Linked DNA regions of Drosophila melanogaster. The protein of the gene in region 3 interacts with the protein of the main gene of each other region in a biochemical or structural test. Each region holds a gene or a part of one and is shown on either strand. Other genes may lie near its edges.

What was found.
Region 1: the proteins of Rbp (region 3) and Aplip1 are reported together in a solved structure, tested with the Drosophila melanogaster proteins (one study listed by BioGRID).
Region 2: the proteins of Rbp (region 3) and Rim form a complex in vitro, tested with the Drosophila melanogaster proteins (one study listed by BioGRID).
Region 4: the proteins of Rbp (region 3) and brp form a complex in vitro, tested with the Drosophila melanogaster proteins (one study listed by BioGRID).

What each region holds. Positions count from the first base shown.
Region 1 is NT_037436.4:1,194,307-1,199,939, reverse strand, and holds Aplip1 (APPL-interacting protein 1), read right to left. Parts: upstream 3,624-5,633; 5' UTR 3,398-3,623; coding exon 3,285-3,397; intron 3,004-3,284; coding exon 2,627-3,003; intron 2,432-2,626; coding exon 1,710-2,431; intron 1,642-1,709; coding exon 1,454-1,641; intron 1,386-1,453; coding exon 1,313-1,385; 3' UTR 601-1,312; downstream 1-600. Other genes in the region: LysX (lysozyme X), read left to right, coding at 4,645-5,073. UniProt on the Drosophila melanogaster protein: The JNK-interacting protein (JIP) group of scaffold proteins selectively mediates JNK signaling by aggregating specific components of the MAPK cascade to form a functional JNK signaling module.
Region 2 is NT_033777.3:17,913,202-17,918,499, forward strand, and holds the start of Rim (Rab3 interacting molecule), read right to left. Parts: upstream 3,378-5,298; 5' UTR 2,938-3,377; intron 1,964-2,937; 5' UTR 1,753-1,963; intron 1-1,752.
Region 3 is NT_033777.3:15,372,401-15,377,765, reverse strand, and holds the start of Rbp (RIM-binding protein), read right to left. Parts: upstream 3,132-5,365; 5' UTR 2,905-3,131; coding exon 2,798-2,904; exon of another isoform or gene 2,089-2,797; intron 1-2,088. Other genes in the region: Ccm3 (cerebral cavernous malformation 3), read right to left, coding at 4,296-4,380, 4,753-4,917, 5,003-5,135, 5,194-5,365.
Region 4 is NT_033778.4:9,502,024-9,507,333, reverse strand, and holds the start of brp (bruchpilot), read right to left. Parts: upstream 3,570-5,310; 5' UTR 3,489-3,569; intron 2,331-3,488; 5' UTR 1,866-2,330; intron 1-1,865. Other genes in the region: Wnt2 (Wnt oncogene analog 2), read right to left, coding at 4,295-4,607, 4,825-5,012, 5,078-5,310.

The DNA.
Region 1 (5,633 bases), on a different chromosome or scaffold from region 3:
GTGGCCCAAAGCTGCTGGCCGGCTTCGCGAAAATTGCATAATGATTGATGCCCCCAGGCTAACTGATGTATCGCCATTTTAATGGCTCGGCCATTTATTCTCCACTCCCTGGGCGTTTTCATTAATGTGCGATTGTTTCTTTTTCCGGCGTAGATCCGCATTGGTAAATGTGCGGTGAAATAAAACTAATGTGGAATCCGAATGGGAACTTCTGGGCCATCATTCCATTCCATGGCCCGCTCAAAACAAGTCATCACAAGTTAATCTTAAAACTAAACTGCAATTGGCCATTGCCTTCATATAGCCGATTAGTATTATCTTGTCTTGTCGTGTAATTTTATGCAAATCACCAATTCATTTCCCGCGAGAGATAAACTCACATGTTTTATGTGTAAAATAATTTACTTTACAAATTATAAGTTATCTTTTAGGCTGCTAAATATTATCTACCATCATTTCGGGATTCTATCAACTTGCTATAAATTGAGCTTAAGTGCATACTTTTGGGTAAGTTCTACAATATAAGATGAAAGGGCTTACATTCTCTTACTAATAAAACTCACCTTTCTTCCTTGAGCACCCAATAATCCAATATAGTTTGATTTATAGGTTCTTTATATATTTCTTTTGTATACATATACAGTATATATTCGCCTGCGTGTACACAACTTTAAAGGTTTACACATCTTATACTGGGCTTTAATTGAGAATACTTCAAAACGTAGCAGCTGGTGTTCGATATTGTTGAGTCTCTGGTAACTGAAAGATTGGCATAACTAAACTAAGGTTACACGAAGATCGCTAAATTACTTTGGCCTCACTCTATTTTGTGCATTGCCAGGTTAAGGATGTGGTTACAGGAGGGTCTGGATATCTATAACCAATCCAAATTGCTTATCTCCGATTTACAATAGACCCAACTGACCCAACTGACTCCCGATACAAAATTCAAGGTGTTCAAGGTGTTCTTTTGCTTCTGTCCATATATCCAGTGAACTCGAGTTTAAAGGCGGTTCCTATAGAGGGGGCAACTATTGCTGATTGCTTGAAGCTCAGTGTGAGTGTGAGTGTGAAGTGGGGATTTTGAACGAAAGTTAACTAACTATTTACATGTCTAAGATCTTGCACATTTGTTCAAAACGGATAAATGATAATAATCTATAGCTAGGGTTTCTATTGCGAGCTTATTGATTTTGCTTTGAGATTCTCTTTGAAGAAGAGCAAATATTCTTGAGACTTATCTTTGCTTTTATTCGTAATAACCGCACAAAAAATATATCGTATTGATTAATGCACAAACCGCCTTGCAAGCCTACTCAATGTAGATGTCCTCGATGGGATAAGCGGTTTCAATGAATTTCTGATAGAATCGCTGGAAAGCACGGCTGAAAGAAGGAGTGTTAACATGTTATTCGAGCGTTTGTTTTGGGGGGATGACTGCTTGAGGACTCACCCCACTGCCTCGGCCACCGGTCTGGTCGACTCCGAGCCCTTGAAGACGTGGCAGGCGAACCGCTGAACCGTGGGATGTTTGGTGATGAAGCCAATGAAGCGGTGATCGCGAGGGTGAAATGCGCAGAAGGAGACGTTCTTCAGGGAGTAGAAGTAGTCGATGCAAGGTTTCTTGTCCTTTTTGTTTTGCTGTTTCACGAAATCGGTTTTTATATCGGTTATTAATGAAGATGTATATATGTATGTATCCTACTCACATTCGGGCCCGATCGATCCACCATGCGAAGTCCCTGGTCGGAAACCTCCAGGATGCACGTCTGTCCGGTCGGTGAGTTGCCGTACTCCCCGACAATCTTGCGCACCGCCTGGCAAACGACTCCGGTGCCCTTGTGCGCCAGCGTCTCCACGGATCCGAGGTAGCCCAGCAGATAGCGCTCCTTCTTCACCAGCTGCACTGTGGGATCGAACTCGTTGTAGTCCAGGTCCACGGCGTAGGCCGAGGGGAAGATGCCCTGCCTTCCGGTGCGGAGATTCACACCCTCGCACCACAGGTCCTCGGCCTCCTTTTGCACGTAGATGGCGTCGCCGATCTCCAGCTCGATCTCGTCGTGGTGCCGCGGCACAAACTTGTGCAGACCACGGTGAGTGGCCTCCAGCATCTCCAGCTGGCCAAAGGGCACGCCCCCAAAGGGAGGCGGAAAGGGGGACTGCGAAACGGGAGACGTGATCTGCGGCGACATGCTCTTAAAGTCGTTGGGCGAATGCGCCGTGCTGTGACCACTGTCCACGTCGCCCAGACTCTGCATCCTTTCCGAATCCGGACTGGAGTCCTCGTCCATCAAGTAGCCGCATTTGAGGGACAGAAATGAGCGCTGTTGTCCACTGCGAACTGCTGGAGGGATTCCTCCACCACCACCGTTGCGGAACTCATCCGCCAGGGAGCCAAAGTTGGAGCCACCTAGAAGATGCAGAATGGAAGCTGCAACGAGGCCATGAGTGGGTTAGCCCGAAACTACGAAGGGATGTTAAGAAGGACTATCCGGCTCCCAAAATAGGATATGACGAATAGATGTGTTGTGGAAAACCAAATACTAGTTTTGAAAACCGGCATAGCCCCTGAAACTACTTGCATGCAGGATACTCTAGCCAGGAACTAAGTTTTCAATAAACTTACATTTCTTGTTTTTCGGTATTTCCGGCAACTTGCGACGACGTCGCGTGGCAGCTGTATTGGGTGCCAGCAGATCTGTGCTGGCTCCAATGGTCACAGGTGCACTATTGCCACCCAATCCACTGGTGTCCATGCCCAGGAAGCCACCAATCGCATCCTGGTGGTTCAACGGATGATGTCGGTGCGAATTAAACGAGTCGTTGGTGTCCAGCGAGCCGTCCGAGGACAGAGTGACTTTCAGCCCGTCGCCCAGCTCATCGTCCTCCACTTGACGCATCTTGGGCTCGTGATCCACAAGACCAATGCCATCCTCCTGATCCGAACCGTCGCCATCGCTCTTCGAGGAGTGCGAGTCCTCCAGGTCATCGTTGGGAATTAAGCTGTGAAAAGGGCTTTACTGATGAAACTGAACTCATGCCATCGCACAGAAATCACAGCGAGTTTGGAATAATTCATAAGAATGTCCAAAGGCATGCACACAATTCGTTGCATACTTTTAAACAGTTCCATCAGTGACTTTTGTGATTTCTGTTGCGAACAGTTCCCTTCAAGGATACCCAACCAGTTTCAAGGGGTGCTCTTCAGGACACGTGCACACGTCTTGGCTACAGCAAGCTTCGCCAGATTGCTTCTTACCACAGCCTTTCACCTTTCAACTTACGAGTAAAATGCATGTGGATTATTCTTCTTGCTGCCTGCTCCTGATCCGAATCCAGCAATCGTATGTGGCTCAAATATGGGCCTGTGGAACTCCTCGAATTCGCTGTCGGCCATGTCGTTTGGGGACCAGGGTCCGACCAGCTGCCACGCCCTCCACTACAGGCTAGCTGGGGCTTTTAGTTAGTCCGTGTGAACTGCTTTTGGTTAGATTTTCACTGGAGTCCTGCTCGCGCTACAGTTTTTTGCCAACGGAGTCACTTTTTTCACTTCACATGCGAAAATCGATAATTTCCTTGACGTTGCTGGCGTGCCCCCGTCTGAATTCCAGATGTGAGTGGTGCCAAATCAGAAATAGTGGAGGCCCAAGCCAGGGAAATTCGGGACTTTCAGCTGTCATCCGCAAGCTCTCTCTTTATTTCTCTCTCTCTCTCTCGCTGGTAAGCCAAACTTGTTTTTGTTTACCGCTGGCAGGGCAAAGGTTGGGGGGTCAGCGGCATTCACTCTGTCCTGGGGGTTGACAGGAAGCGCGCCTGCGCAGTGAGTCACTTCCGCTCCCCGTTTCCAATGGTGGTGACTTGCGAATTGCAATGCTGTTGCGCTTTGGCACGAACAGCCAGGGGCGGATCTAGAAAATGGGGATTTCCCCCGGCTGGGGATTTCTTATCGGGCATATATTTTTATAGTAAATGTGTACGAACGAATCAGTCTTCATTTCACAAAATGCAATTTCGAAAATTATTTAATTAATTTTAAAAGTACAAAAACTATCTATCAATTAATTTAGAAAATTATAAAATTATGAATAAGGTTGGTCATTATCTATCTAAAACAGCAATTATATTATATTATATTATAATATATTATATTATAATATATTATATTATAATATATTATATTATATTATATTATTTTATATTATAAGATACGATAGGAGATGTAATCGCCACCCCAACTGATAAATGTAAATGGGGAAATGGAAATCGTCAGTCTGCCATAACTTACCTACAAGATATGCATTTTTCTGTTGCCTAGTCAAATCAGACAATCTAAAGGTACCTATAATTTTCCTAAGAAATTTTCTTACCACTAACTCAGGTGATCCGGTCCAATGTTCAAAGTTCTCACACAACGGTTGCCACACGAGCTGCAACGACATGCTCAAAGACGACATCATCCAGTCTGTGAGGTGTGCCCAGAAAGCCCAGATTTAGTTGAATACCCTCAATAATAAGAACCGCTGGTTTCTTCTTTGTATAGAATATAGTTCTTATCTTTAATCAGATTTTTTTTATTTCCCCGGGTATAAAAGAATGAACAGTCTTTAGCCACGCAGTACTTCATCGACATCCAACCAATTCGCCATGAGAGCCCTCCTAGGAATCTGTGTCCTGGCACTAGTCACTCCAGCTGTCCTGGGTCGCACCATGGATCGCTGCTCACTGGCGCGCGAGATGGCCAATATGGGTGTTTCTCGTGACCAGTTGTCCAAGTGGGCGTGCATTGCAGAGCACGAGAGCTCCTACCGCACCGGAGTGGTGGGGCCTCCCAACACCGATGGATCCAACGACTATGGCATTTTCCAGATCAACGACATGTACTGGTGCCAGCCGTCCAGTGGAAAGTTCTCCCACAATGGCTGCGATGTGAGTTGCAACGCTCTCTTGACCGATGACATCAAAAGTTCCGTAAGATGTGCCCTAAAGGTCCTGGGTCAACAGGGCTGGTCAGCCTGGTCCACCTGGCACTACTGCAGTGGATACCTGCCCCCGATCGATGATTGCTTTGTTTAATTCAAGTCTCTTAACCATGGACATTTCAAAATGTAATTGTTTTGCAATCTAATAAACACTTTTTATACGTTTATACTTTTTGATACGTTGATTCACGATATATACATAAATAAAAGTAAATATCTGGTACGACATTTGTAATTAAACAAAGAAATGTGCGGACAAATAAATCAAAGATAAGCGACAGCGAACAAAATTAGTCATTGCAATTTTTCAACGAATTCATAATATATAGAAAGGTAATTACTATGTACTGTATACTATATATACTATACTATATACTATAAATATATAAAAAAAAACAAATAGTTCAGAAACACTCTAAAATCTTAAAAAGTACGTTCTTAAAGCAGACACATGTAAATGTTGTTTCTTAAGTGTTGATCAAATTACCCTTTCCAATTCCCGAATTAAAACCGAGTCACAGTTTAGACCCCCATTCAAATTAGATGTCTAAGTTAATTATTCCGAAATCAAGAGCTGCCATTCATCGTGACCTCGACTCCGTTCCGGGCTTCATCTCCGTCTGGCTGCCTTCACATCGGCGGAGTGGGGGACAT
Region 2 (5,298 bases), 2.5 Mb from region 3:
TAAAAACAATTCCAACTCCTTAAATTTTACACTAAATTAAAACCCTGCGAGACACGTTTCATAGTTTTGCATTTAGTTGACCAACTGAAAGGGCGAAGCTTCAACTGGTTGCTCGTTTATGAACTGGGTCATTTATCAACTGACATCACCTGTCAACGGGGGGTTTCCTTATCGAGCAGTATATGTATGTATTTCAGTCTCCGTGACGTCACGCCGCCCATGGAGATCGCTCGAAATTTATGCAGATAACTGAATTGGCGAGCGAATTTTCATGGCGCCAGCCATTTCGAGCCAACGGGTGCAATGCACTGCACTATTGTAGTACTCGCAGGACACAAACAAATAAACACGCACACTTATGCACTCCAATAGAGCCATAAAAGAAAACGTGGCCAAGTTGCCACGCTAGTTGTTGCTGCAGCCAAAAACTATAAACGAGGCAATGACTTGGTGACTTTTTGCGGCTGCCTGCCAAATGGAACGTCTTATGGGTTTTTTTTTTTTTACCGACCAGCCTGCTGACTAATGACCATTCTACAGTCGCGGCTAGCCGCCTTTCGTTTGATTCATGGTCCTAGAGCCCATAATTGCACTTATTCATTCATAGTTGCAGCACCGGCCAGCGAACACAAGTCATTGACTGGGTCGAAAAGGATATCTGTGGGCTTTCCCGGAAAAGGCGAGCTGGAACAATGCCACTTTGTCGTTTGGCTTGTTCAACTTTTTCAATTGCGCGCACAATTTCCATGCAATTAACGGCGAACAAATGCAAGCGACAAAACCTGTCAACGGGAGGGTGTAATATAGGGTATAACGTAGCTAAAAGTTGGCCCAACAAGGCGCATTGAATATGTTCAATGGACGTGGCCAAGGGGGTGAAAGTGGGAGAAGGGCGAGCGACGACAGCGAAGCATAAAAAGCAATTTCATGCACCCATTGACCCCCACAAAATGTTGGTTACATGGGAGGGTGGGGGAGGAGAAAATGAGTGGGGGATACAGTGTCAATAGATAGTTGTTTCAGCGATGTCCAACCAGCCAACAGAACGCCCACACATCCACGCCCACTTGTATCCAAACAACAAAGCCCCTTACCAATTGTGGGCTCACTGCCATTACTCATACGCCCCGTGTGCATTGTCAAACATTTATGACGTCCATTTTGGCGAGTGTATTAGTGCTCTAGTGTGTGTGTGTGTGTGTGTGTGTGGGTGCTTGTGTGTCGTCATTACCATCATTTGTCTGTAGGGCAAAATACCCATCCACAACCCATTCCATCTCATCCGATACGATCCCATTCCTGCAATTCGTTTTGTTGTTGCCTAGTGACGTTCGCCATTTGCCAAGTGAATCGAGTGAAAAGGAAAATCGATTCCAACTGACTGCCTGTTGCTGTCTGCTACTAGTTTACCTTTTAATTAAATTTAACGCCCATCGAAGGACCACCCACTACCGAACACCCAACACCCACCGCCCACCACCCACCACCCACCACCCACATTTACTATTCATTATTGCCCAGTAAACAGAGCAGTAACAGCCACAAAAGAGAAGTAAACTGCACACAACAGAGAGAACACAGGGACTAAGTTTGCTTTATATGCTGTGGCAATTTCTCGGCCATTGTTCGTCATTGTCTGGGGCAACTGTTGATGTTGTTGCTTCGTTGATTCGTTGACTTTGCAGTACATAAGACTAGTCATTCGGTACAACTCGAAATACCCTTTTTTTTTTTTGTTTTAGTTTAACTTACATGCATTTCTCTATCAGGTTGCTGTGTAAACGGCGTTGTCTATTCGTTCGTTGTTTGTTGTTTATGGCTTTCCTTAGTTGAGTTAATTAATTTGGTTTTATTTGCTGTTGTTGTTTTGTTTTTAATAATAAAAGCGTTCTTGTTCTTTAGGTATTTTGTTGGCTATTTACAAGGCTTTGGTTGAATTTCATATACTTAAAAAACTTGAAAACTGTTCGGTAGAAAGACATTAATTATGGATTTTAATCACTTATGTGTATTCCTTATTTTTGTTAAACACTTCAGCGGCGCTCGACATTTGTTGTTTCTCTAGCGAGCTTCGCTTGTCGTCTAAGTGTAAAGTTGAAGTTGAGTTGTAATTATGTTGCATGCTGCCACTATTGTTGTAACACTCACACACACAGACGCGCACATTGGGGAAATAAAAGAGCGAGAGCGCGCGAGTGAGCGACTGAGAGAGCACACTGCAGCTGGCAGGAAATACTGGGACGTTTTTGTGGCAATACTGGGTTTCACCACACACTGAACGGAGGCCAAAGGCCAACGCGGGTTAGCCAAGTTAATCATACGCACTGTTGTACATAAAAAAATATTTACTCCGATTTGAATTAAAATTTCGAGGCATTTTAAATTGAATGGAGAAAGTTTAGTTACTAGAATAGTTTTTGTCATAATTGTTTTGGCTAACATTCTTTAGTTTTGATTGTGTGTGGTGAACTTTCTCTCTCGTTAACTGTCGCTCTCCCCTGACTTTTCATCCACATTAATAGTAATTTTTTTCCATATGAAATTGTTTTAAATTTATGACCTATCAAAGCAATTGACAGTGTCAATGAAATCTTCTATATTTCAAATTATAATTACAAAACTCAAGGATGAAGGACAGTCGTTAACTGCGGTAGACCTCCTTGAGTGTGTGTTAGTTTATTTTTCTGCATATTTAATGCGTTCATCCGCACCGAATCCTGGCCAAAAGGATCACGGCCAACACAACAAAGGAGCACAGAGGCGAGAAGTCGAGGAGAGAAGAGAGCGGAGAGAGGCGAGTTTTTGGGTGGGATTGCGTGGCGTTGTGTGTACAGAAAAAAAGCAACCAGCTCACGAACGGCGGAAAAAAGTTGGAAAAAAAAGTGAACGAATCAAATTTTGTCGTGGAGACCAATGAAAAATGCAGAATTTTCTTACATTTTTTATACACTTTCTTGTAGGTTGTTGGAGCTGTTTTGCGTTTGTGGTCATTAGCTTAAATCACAATTGGTTTGCACTTAGATTTTATGTAGATTTGTGTGTGTATAACATATACGTATATATCTATATATATATGCTTGTATGTGTGGCTATATATATATATGTATATAACTATGTGTGCAGCATTCCATATGCGCAAATGAATTTTCCGTTTAGCGAGCTCATTTCGTTTTTTTTGTTGCTGCAATTTTCGCTTGTTTAATTGTTGTTCGCTGGCGCTTAAAGCCTGATGTTGCTGCTTTCTGCTGGTGTGTGATTTTGTTGCTGTTGCTGTACTGCCTGCTGCACCAACAACAACTAGATGGAGTGCGGCGACAACAACAACGACAACGACGACGGATGCGACGACGGCAACGACATCACGACGGCACGACAACGACTGAAAACTGGACCCGCAGCTGGAGCTGGAAAAGCTATAGAGCCCACGATATGGCCCACCTACATCAGGAATTCGCTTCGATTGTCGTCAGCAGTTCAGGAATTTCTCTCTCGCTATCCCCGTATCACTCGGATTCTCTCATGAAAAGGGACTCTCTCTCTCTCTCTCTCTCACACACACTGCCTGTCGTTCGCGTGGTGAATTGACCAGGGAGTTGTTAACCAGGCAAGTGGGAGCACATGTTTCTCTCAGTGTTATGAGTGGCTTTTCATATTTCATGTGCAATTTTAACACCTACTACAAACTAACTGCCGAGTGTGTGACTCCAACTTTCACCACACACCCCCAAATACCCGCCCCCTTTGGGCATTACATGCTCATATGGTTGTTTTGCGCAAACATTAAGCAACAACATCGTGTTGCATATTCATAAAATTCAACTCCTCATCCAATGGGGGGCGTGTGTGTTTATGGAAATATGTTCACTGTTCACTTCCTCCCCTTGCTTGCTGTTGCCAAAAAAAAAAAGAAAAGAAAAACAGTTTTTCATTGCATTTGGGGATGTTCTTGCAGCAGCAGCGCCAATTTGGAACGAATCGCTCTTTATTGCATACTTCGAGGGGCAGGGAAATGATCCCTTCTCAGCGAATATTATTGAAAAGATTTGGCAGCTCAATCGAGCTTAAAATTGCAATAAACTTGAATAGGTTAACAAGCTGCGAAATACAGAAATATATTATAGTTTTTATGCTAGAAATCATTATATATACTTATACTTAGTTGTAATTTCATTTATATTTATTTCTTCTAAAACTTTAGCAATTTCCTTTAAAATGATTTCGCTTGCTTAGATCTGCTTTAAATCCATTTGAGCCAAATCTATTTTTGGATGCCCAACTTTTGACCTTAACACATCACGTGCTTGTCAAAAATATCCAACACTCAAAGCCCACAAAAATTTGTACACTTCTGTTGCATATTTCTCAATTGGCTTGAGTTGTCGTCGCTGTTATCGCTTTTATCTGTCAGCTTATCGCAGCCATCATGAGATTTGGCGTAAATTGTCACAGCCACTCCAGGCCAGCCTTCCTTCACCAGTGCATTTCCTTTACTTTGGATGCCTTTGGCAGAGTTACAGAGAAATAAATAAGTAATATTACTAATATGCATACGAATCAATGCATAGTTATTAAATATATCGAACAAATATCTGCAGTATCTTATTTGTAGTTTAACTATCAAAGTCCCATATAACAATAGTTTTAGTTTGGGAATTGATCTAGGTACAAATTAAAAATATTTTTATTATAATACTAAAAACCATTTAATTAATAGAATATTACTTTAGTTTGTCTTAATTCAACTACAAATTTGTTCTCAGCGTATGACAGCTGAAAACAGAAAGATAAACGCGTTTCTGGCTGTCGAAACTCTTATTCCATTGCTGATAGCCTGCTCACGTGCAGTGTCTTCGGCTCGCAACACTCGCACACCCGCAACACTCGCACAGTCGCCGGCACACACACACACTGGCACACGAAGGGGAGCGATTGGATTTCCGGCGGAGATGAGAGCAAGCTACGTGGGCGGGGGGAGTGGCAGGTGGAGTCTGGGAGTGCCAGGAGCTGTATTTGGCCGCCAGCATTTTCCGATGTTGCCGCTTACTTTGTAAGTGTGCGTGTGTGTGCGTTTGTGTGTGTGTCTGGGCGGCTGACGTCATTGAGCTTTTTATTGATTTTCATTTTAACCAAAAAAAAAAAAGAAAAAACAAGAAGAAAACATACTTGGGCTAGGACGCAGGGCAGGAAGGCCAACAGATGTCATCCAAGAAAAGTCGAAATGCGCAATTAAAGAGAGAGAGAGAGAGACTGCAAAGGGGGCTTTCTCGAAGGAAGTTTTTGACAAGAATTTCTTGGGGC
Region 3 (5,365 bases):
GCCACCCAAAACTGGGTTGCGGCCTGGCTATGCTTTACACTCTATTAACCCACATTCTGGCCAAAGTCGTTGCGGCCATCGGAGTAAATTAAATGGAAAATTCCCATTCACTCGGAACTGAGGCACGTTATCTAACAGGGAGAAAGCAGGGAATTGGGAAGGTAACCTCTGCCAGCACAGTATCTTTATTTCCGCACAACGTGCCGTATGCGTAATATCATTTACAACTGCAAGGCGACTGTCTAGTGAAATATACAAAAAGTCGTAATTAAAACAATATTCGTTGACTATTCGTGGTTGGAAAAAAACGCCACAAAGAAATGAAACGAAATATTCCTGCCAACTTTGTTGGCCCCAAACTTCGACAAACTAATTTAAAAACTTTGTTGCGTTTTTGGTTTTTGGCGCGCAGCAACTTTGATTTACTTTGAAATGAAGTGCCCAGAAAACCAAGAAAAAAAAGCGGGAGAACAAAAGTTGCAACTGCAAAATGGCAATTTCCACCTTGTGTGTTGACAGACAAGTTTGCAAAGAAAGGCAATTAATTAGCATCCGGAATCGGTTGCCTTGGCAAACTCACGAAAAATGCAAAAAGTTGGCCATACCAAGCTAATATTTACATATTCTCCAGCAAAGGTCGGTGAAAGTTTTAAAGCACCATTGTCTGCTCTTCGATGCCCTAATGAGCTGTCGTTCAATTAATTGAATGCTCACACACTTGGGCCATAACAATCAAGTGCTTCTAATTGCAGCAATTATAGCCGACGAAGGCAGGGGCCAACAGCCATTGCCAACAATTACATGCATAAATAGTCGACAATGTGCTCGAGAATATGACGAGTGGCAAGTCCTAAAAATAACACTGCGAGCAGAAACTTTTTAAAGTCGAGCAATTACAATTACAATTACATTTAAGATGTTGGGAAAAGTTCATTATCCTGCTGCTGGCATGACCTCAATCGCAGAGCCAAGGAAAAAAGCGAACCAGAACACGAGCACAAAAACTATCTTGCCTATTTATAACAAGCTGCTCACACACAGGCACACACACAGACCCACGAATTTCGTCGCTTCTGGCGCTGAAATACTATAGAAAAAAACCATAGCACAGTTATGGGGTGGAAAACCAAACCGCCAAACCGGGAAATGGGAAGTGGTTCGGAGAGAAGCAGGGGGATCCCCGCCTGTGGACATCTCATGGTCGCAGTTTGGCTGGCAGCCCAGCATATAAATTATTGAATGATTGCCATCTGTCAAAATTGGCCAAACTCAACGATTAATCCTGCTCGGAAAAATCCAATAAAATCATAATGGCTTTTCTTTTCAAGCCGTTCTTTATATTTTTCAACACGGGGGATCTTTCTGTTGGCTTAAAGGAAAATTCAATTGAATAGTTGCACATTTGAGTTCTTCATGTATTAAATACATATGCAACATGTTAATTTAAATTTGGCCAATTATGTTTTAATTCATCTACAGAAAAAACTACATATTTATAGAAGGAAGCTATGAAGACTTTCTTTTCATAATAAGCCCGTCTAGGTTGTGATAATGTTGTATTAAGTATCCGCAACGTGTACCAGGCCATCGACGCGTGACTTTCGATCATTGCAGTGGAAACTGAGTACAGTGGGCTATAAATATATACGAAATACGTGAAAGCATTCAATCGGTGGAAAGTGCTGTTACGGGTATTAAAACACCGCTCCAGAGAAGGTAACGGTAACCGCATGCACGCTGTAGATACCTTTAGTGTACATATATATGTATGCATATGTACATGCATACGTACATACACACGAACGTGTGTGGTGGGTGTACACTGTATGTAGTATGTGTGTTACGCACGCAGCAGCAAACAACTTTAACATTGTTGTTGCGCAGGCTGTGGGACAAGTGTGAAGTGAAAACCGCCCCCAGAGTGCGAACCCAAAAAGTGGGACTTTTCTGCTGCTGCTGCTGCTGGTGCTGCTGGAAGCTTATGAATATGAAACGCTCACACACACATGCTGCTCCTGCCGTTGTGGCACTTGCAGTGGTATTGGTGCTGCTCCAGTTTCGTTGGCCATTTACATCTACTTTACTTACATGCCTCTCGCTCTTTTCGCTTTCTCTGTATGTGTGTGGCGGGTGTATGCGTGAGTGTGTGTGGGTGCGCGCTTTTTTGTGCCAAAATGTAGCTGAACTCTGCTTTTAGCCAATTTCTCCGATTTTATTTAGGCATTTTTCTATAATTTCGGTTTCATTCACCATTTCGCCTGCCTCGGTTTTACAGTGATTACCCGCATTTGCATATTGTATATGCATCAGCATGTGGGCGAGTATGTATATGTATATGTTTGGATATATGTATGCATGTGAGTGTGTGTGGGAGAGTGTAGTTTTACGCTGGCTGCTCTTTTTCGTATTTTTTTTTTTTTTTTGCCTTTATCGATATGCTTACACTTTTACTTTTCACTGTCCCACCATTTTCCCGGAATCATTATATCTTTCACTGGATTTTTTAACTGCACTCGCGGCGAGCTTTTTCACGTTATTGGCGAGAAAATGAAATTTTCACGCAGCAGCGGTGCTGTTGGGCAAACATTTGGTGTACAGCGAAATTTTTCGTGAGCTCGCTCGCTCGCATAACAGCTCTTTTTTTCAGCTTGCGCAAAATAAGTATTTACCACGCGATTTTGACACTTTTTGCTTAAACTGCGGTTTTCGTTTTCGGAAGCACAGGATTTTATCCTTTCTTTTTGGGTTAACTTTTTGTAATATTTTGTATTCGGGGGCTTTTGAACGGGTTGCGAACCTTTTTTGCTGCTTGTGCTTCTGCTTCTTGCTTGCTGCTGCTGCTGCTTTTTCAGGTCGCCTGTTTTCCTCTTCCACGTTTGCGCTGGGAAATTCACATAAATGCATATAGTTTACACTAGGCTACGTAGGCTGTACATAATATATCCGAAAAACGCGATCGTTTCACTGCTACTATATAGAAAAAAACTCCGCCTAGTTGTCCACTTTCTGTGGGTAGTAGCAGTTGGGTCTCAGTGCGAATACCGAAAAGTGGGTCATCTCGGTCGCGCTGCTGGCGCACTCTGATTTCTACCCAACTGCCAGCTCGGTGCTCAGTGTGCCAGAGCAGAGTGGCCCAGAGAACCCAGAGCCGAGCACTCAGTACCCAGTGCCCACTATTCAGTGTGCGGGGAATCGATTTTTCTGCCAAATGACACTGAAAAACGGGCAATTCTCTCCCGCTCTCAGAAGGACTCCTTTGGGGTTGCAACTGGGTAAATTTCTGCTCAGGGCCTGTTATTGGGGGTTTACTATTACTTTTGGCTGTTATCCGTTAACAGCGCTGTCCTCTGTTAACGACATGTGCGTGTAAATCTGAGATTTTGATTTCAGTTTACCAATCTCTGATTTTCGAAATCAATTCTCGGGTAATATAAAACAATTATTTCCACATCATACCACACCTAATACTATAAATTATAAAGTAATTTTACGTAAATTGGTTAAATATGAAACACTCTTTTCAATTTTGGAATATAAATACATTTATTTGTCGTTTTCTTTTCGCTATGTCTACATTATGAGTTTGTTGCCGTTCTTTTACTTTTGCTTAGTGTTCGATTTTCATATAACATTTTATTAATTAAAATAATTTTTTCTCCATCCTGTTGATAGTGCTGTCGGCCACTAATGTCTTTCGCTTTCGCAGTTTTCAAATAGAACATATCATTAAGTAAAAGATTATTATGTATAGTGTTTAAATTTCAAACTCTAACAATTAAAAACAGTTAAAAATTTAAGTGTTCCGTTAATGTTTTTGTTTGTCATCTCCCCGTAGTACATACATTTCCTGTTTCTCGTTTTTTTTCCACTAATTTTAAATTTATTCGTAGGCGCTTCTCCTAAACAAAAACAAACTAGCCGATGTTGTTTGTTAACAGAAAAAGAATGAATTATTTACAATAAATTGTAAACGAAAAATAAACTCTCGCACACATCGTCCGTCTCCATAAATAGTTGCTCACTAGTTAATTACAATGCTTAGGCTTCGCAAAATTTTGTGTCCGAGTATGTGTAATACATATGTATATACGATATAAATTAGGCCTATTTATTTAGTTACAACAGATTTTCATTTACGTTCAAACATTTAACTTGGACTGCGTCGGGCGATTTTGTATTTAAGTGTGTTGAGTTTATTTGATTTGTTTCGGTCTTGGTATGTTAAATGGTTATTTAAACATAAAATTAAAATGCCACTAATTAATTAATTTGCCATAATTAAAGGATTTAATTCTCTACTCGCATTTACTCTTAACTGTCAGCATTATTTGATTCGTTTGCCGTATTAGAAAAAGTGCACTTATGAATACTGCATTCGGTCTGAAAATAGATAAAATAAAAGAGAATCGGTTAGAAAATCCTTGCTGAAGCAATTTGAATTAGTAATGCAATTTGGCCCCAATTTCATGAAAAGGTCAGCGGTAATAGCCATTAGTACGTAATCGAAGCAATTTACAATTTAAAATGGGCGGGGGTCCGGCTTAATATCCGCCCCTCAGAATCTCCGGCGCAAAATGATAAACCAAACAATACCCGGAATGCCAATGGAATGACATCATCTCAACGGTTGGCCCGAAACGATAAGAAACCAGATATGAGCCGATTTAAAGAAACCGGCTGTCATGGCGTCGCAGCGTATCGTTTGATAACACATATAGTAAATAATCACTGCAGGTGATTCTTAATACTTACTGTCCTTCTTTGAAGTACTCCTTCAGCGTTGTGCTGAACTTCTTGGAATATTTGACGAACTCCTTCTTACGCTGCTCCACAGCCTGCTTGCCCGTTACGCCAGGTATAAACGAGCCGATCTCGTTGACCACATCGAGTAGTTTCTTTATGGCGCTGGCGATTTCCCTGTAAAACGCAGTAAAATTTCATTATTCATTAATCAGTTAAGCTTATGCAGTGAGTTTTAGCTTCATTTTGAGTTTTTACTTACTTGATGGTCTCCAGGAAGGTCTTCCTGTCGTTTATCTCATCGGGTATGCGGCTGAGGATCACCTTGAGAGCCACGGACTTACGATTGAGCTCCTGGAAGGGCTCCTCCGTGCGCGTCAAGCGGTATTCATTGACTGTGGAAGGGGGAAACTTCGTTAGCTACGAAACTCAGCTGCTGGCGTGGCTACTTACGGTCCGCTTCCGTAATTTTGCCCTGCAATCGGAGCACGGCCTCGTTTAGGTTAACATTCAGATCGGCCCGCCGCACAATTGTGGCTACGAGGTCATAGCAGAAGCCCGGATTGTTCTGCTCCGACTTGAGAATGGCGGAGCGCAGAGATTGGGCAGCGCCAACGTCGCGTCG
Region 4 (5,310 bases), on a different chromosome or scaffold from region 3:
TCATCTTTTGGTCTCAATTTAAAATCAAATAAACTTATAAATAAGTATATAACGTAACGCACTCATAATGTTCTCTGCTTTACTATAGCTTAAATAACTTAAATCGTTTCAAAAATATTATTGGGTATTAATTTTAAATAAGAACAAAATGAATAAATTCAATATTTTCGTGGCTAATAATTGGCTTTAGTATTTTGATTCTGATGACCTCAAATCATCGTGTTTACTTTGTAGACTTTGTATTTGAATGTCATGAATAGCAGGTTGTAATTAAGGCGCCCGCATAAACAATGCGACCTGGTGATAAGACGAAATGTTGAACCTTCGGCTGCTGTGAATGATGTGAATGGGCCAAGAGTGCAGATATCAACGGCAGCGGTGCGACAGCTGCAGCGGCTCAAATGAATGCTAAATGAATCAGCAGGCCGGAAGCCCATTCACACAGCCAAAAGCCGTGGAAAGGAAGCCTCAGCTTGATTCTGTGGATGTGGATGCTCTATGTGTGCGGCAGGGAGAATGGGGACATAAAAAGATGGAGGAAGCGCAGCAGATGAGGTCAGGATATGGCAGACAGGCCATAAAATATCAGGCCCAGATTCGATTACATCGCCATGCCATTAGGGAGCCCCAGGCAGTGCACTTTGCTGGGCAAACATATCCAGATATATACTGCCATACTGCCAGATGTATGTAGATGCGGAGAGCGGGAGACGGATTGCACTTCTAGCTGCATACTTGGGGGACCTGGAGCTGAAGCTGAAACTGGAAGCCACTACGATTGTTGTCCGTCCGGAGGCCATCTTATCAGGCTATCTGCTCCGGGGGCCTCCACCCCAAAACAAACATGTTGAATAGCTTCCGAAAAAACGAGAGGCGTCCCCGGAGAAAGCCGGAGAGAGAACTCACCACACTGGGAGGCTAGTGCGCAAATGCGTGCCATCTCACCAGCGCACTTCCCTTTCTCCTCTCGCCTTTCTCCGTTCCTCTGGCTGCTTTCTCCATTCGCTCCCGCTCACAACAATAGCGTCATCGTAAAATATTTGCCGTATTTTGTTGTTACCACTGCCCCAATATATGGATTGGCGGCGTTTTCTTCGCCCGCACACACACTGACTCTCACAACAGACACACACAGACACTGACTCAGACCACATGTAAAATAAGGTTGAAATTTGAAATCAATAAAAGTTATTCGGCTGATCTAAAATTAGAGCAAGCAACTCAAATAACAGCCGAAAGAAGTAAATAATAAAGGCAAACACCGCATCATTGACACGCAAAGGAGGTGATTGGGCCGGCCCCCAAAAAAGCTGAACAAAAAACTGACAAATCATGCGAGCAAATCGAATGCGTCGAGCCTGCCCCACAAGGCACCATCCACATATCTAATTATAAGTTTTCAAATTGCTTGCCAATCTCCGGATGATTGATTGATTGAACGGGGCGTATGGGTAATGCATGGAGAACAGACTAAAATTACTCGCTAAACTAAGTTACTCGACTACGTTCTAGGACTGCAACTAGGTCTAGATAATCGGGGATCGTATTTTATATTCAGCTGGACATATTCATCGGTAAAATCACAAGAAAGAAATCACAACAGATACGTACAGGAGATAAAGAAGTTACACAGAGAGAACAAAGGCAGGCACAAAAACAGATTACTTATAACTGATTACGATTAAATTATGGCGGCTCCTGTTACACAAGGCATACGCACAAATCAGAAATCAATATCGCTTATGGTTCACATCACAAATTGAAGTTTTTGCCGTGTTTCTTTGGTTGTGTGTGCGTTTATGTGTGTGTATCTCAGTGTCAGTGTGGGTGTCGTTACGTATACGTAATACGGTTAAATAGCTCACCCGCTTTGCTTAGGCGATGAATTTTGAATGATTTTCCTTAACGAACTGCGGGCGAATGAAAAACTGGCTAAGCTAGCTGCTGCTCCTGCTACTGCACCTCCTCGTTCGTTTAATCCTCTTGCTCCTGCTCCTGCTCCTGCTGCTGCTCCTCGACTTCCGCTTCCGGTTTTCAGAGCCCGCACACACTGACGCACTCGCGCTGCAACTACATGTGTGTGTGGGCGATTTGTTGCTCGTCTTTATGGCCGTTGCCAATGCAATGGTGCTGGTGACTGCGATTGTGATTGTGTTTGTGGTTGTTGTCAGGCGGCTCAATGGGCATTTCCGGTTCCGGTCGGCTAGCTGCTTGCACTAATTTAGTTGATGACACTGGCTTAGTTAGTTTGTTGACTTTCGTGGCGTGCGCTCGCTGGCTAATTGCATTTTGTGTTTATGATTTAAACGGCTTTTGTTTTATGTACATGGCTGTGTGGGAGGATAATTAAACCGCGTGAGTTTCCAGCTAAACTAATTAAAGTCTTCATTCACTGAGTGGGTTTTTTTGTGTTTCATTTATTTTTCCAAGTGGTTTGGTGGCTTCGTGCCCAACGAGGATATTTTTTACACTCGTTCCCGCTGACACACATTCGAGCCCAACACACACACACACACACACACACAGGCACAGCAAACACAGCGATACGGAGAGATAGGGAGTTGAAGAGTGCTCCGCAAAATGGAGTGGAGAGTGTTCTACGCACGAGTTACGCTCACGAACAACGTAAGGTTCGACGTAACGAAAGGGGATTGTGGGGGGAGTGGCGTGTGGCGAGGGGCGAGGGGCGGTGGAGCTGAGCGGGTGGTTTGGGTGGCTCAACATTATGCTGGCACCCCACCTTCCGTCACTTCATTCGCTCGGCTCTAGGCTCTGTTATACAGCTTATAGCTTTTCAAACTTAATGTCTCTTTGTAGGCGTATGCGTATGTGTGTGTGTGTGTGTGTGAGTGCGGTTTTGTGGGTGTGCGAATGCGAGTGTGTGTGTATAACTCGCATGGCTTATATGTAGGTTGAAGCAATTTATAATAATTTTTTTTTGCTTTCGCCCCAATCGATAGGCAGCGTTTAGTGGGACAGATGACTCCTTTTGATTGACAGTGTGTGTTTGTACGTTGGTCTTTCACACTGATATACTATACACAAATGCACATTTGTATATATATATACGTATAAAGGGTGTGTGTGAAATGGTTCCTTGAGTTTGTCACACGATTTTGAGCGCTATAGGCGGCTTTTTGGCCAGCTCGATTTGCTTTTAACTCGCTTTTTTCGCACTTTTTGCAGGAAATCACTTTTCTGTATCCAGGGAGCAGCCTCTAGCGCTAGTGCTGCCATTCACGCACACTCACTCACTCGCACACATACACACACACTAACGGGGACTTTATGCATTTGATCGAAGCACTTTTCGCCAGTCAATGGAATTTTCTCGCGCTATTCTTTCACTTTTCTCCGCTGCGAATGCAATTAAGTTGGACTTTTCTTGGCCTTATACATTTCTCGGCCAGATACATATACTGCGCGTGTGTGTATGTGTGTGTGCATGCGGGAGTGTATTGGTATTCGTGTCTATGTGTGTTCCTAACCCAAAAATGTATTGTGCGGCAGCTGAGGTGGCCCGTTTTCGGCAACGCCGTTGTCCAACTAACTACCCTCAAAGAACTGAGCACGGCTCGTGCAAGCCAGTTGCTAATATAGTCGCCGATTCGCTGGCAAGTGGTGAGTTTTCCAACTTTTCCTTACCGACCACCCTCTGCTTTCCTCCTGGCCTAGGCATAGGGAGAGCTAGCCGGAGAGCGCGCGATTGCAATCAATGAATTTTCCTTTCGGCGCTCGCGCAGTTCAGTGAGTGCTGGCATCTCGAGCTGCCAGCTTAATGGATTCCGGAATTCCAATACCAAAATATGGAGCCAGCGCATTGCGTTACGCTAAACGAATGTGGGTCTTACGTATTGCTCCACATTCAGCGTTGGCAATGCTGCGCGCCAACTATTCAAACCGCCCTCAAAATTAGACTATGAACTCGTTGGTTTTAGGAACAGTTTTCTATAAGAACAGATTATAGATTCTTAAAGATTTGGATTTCATTATTTTGGAAACTATTTTTAAGGAATAAGAAATCTGAAACAGCAGACTGAATGTATCAGCTCACCTAGATTAGCTTTTTTGCAGAAGGTTCTTTTCTAAGAAAACTTAAATACTTATTTGAATTATACGAACTTAATAATAAGACAGTATTCGTTGGGGATGTTAACTTGTTACGTTTATTCTGGAATGTGTCTGTATGGTGGCGCGGTGCGTATCTGCGGTTGTAATACATTTCTCATAATACTTAATCAACGCATTTCCTATGACATAGCCCTAGTTCTAGCGATATGCTCCCGCTACCCGTCTATTTACAGGTGAACTCCTCGTAGCTCTCGTCGCACTCGTCACACTTGACCTCGCAGCACCAGCGGAATTGGCAGCGGCACTGCGTGGTCCTTCGAATGTGCTGCGTGTTGTGGCCACGCCCACAGCAGAGCAGATCGCAGCTCTGGGGGCCGTGGCCGGTCCGCTGGCAGGTCCGACCTGAGGTGCCCTGGCTGCCCGTCTGCAGACTTCGCTCGCAGTAGTTGGGCGACGCCTCCAGGTAGATCAGCTCCATGCGCTTCGGCCAATCGAGGACCGGTTTCTGGGCACGAGCGGTGCCGGCATGCTTCTTTCTGCAAGAAATTAAAAGTGGAAAGAGGTATGTGTTAATATGTGGGATCGAAAATGTGTTGATATTATACCGTGCTACAGAAGGCACAGCAAACATATTGCATTTAAAAAGGACTTAATGACTACTATGTGTTTTATTCTTTTTAGAAGAATACTTATTTAGCCATTAGATTATTGCCTACATATCATGCAACATCTTGCAAGATTCCCATTTCTCACCTGCTTAATACTAATCTCAGTCCACGTTTGCCTTTGACGGCTTGAACAGTTTTGGCTTTTTGATACTTCAGCATGAGTCTATCGCCAACCAGTCGAAAGGGCGGCAGGCTCTTCCAGCAGGTCTTCATCACGCAGGAGCCACTGACGCCATGGCACTTGCAGTCCGTGCGCAGCATCTTCTTGACCAGCTGATAAGAGAAAAACATAACTATTAACTAGGCCATATTTATTATTAAATTTTATGCATGCGCACCGTTCTCCCTGCTCGGTTATTGTGCAGGTTCATCAGCGTGCGGGAGTCGCGCTCCAATTCGCGGGCATCCATGAATCTGCGCGCATACCGCATCCCAAAGTCCACGTCCGCCGAGCAGCCGCCCCACTTCCAGGGCTCGTCGGGCGTACCGCCGCCAGTGGGCGTGGCTTTGTGCCGCACATCACAGCCGCAGGTGGAGATGTTGCCGCGGGCACAGGCGGCGGTCACCGCGT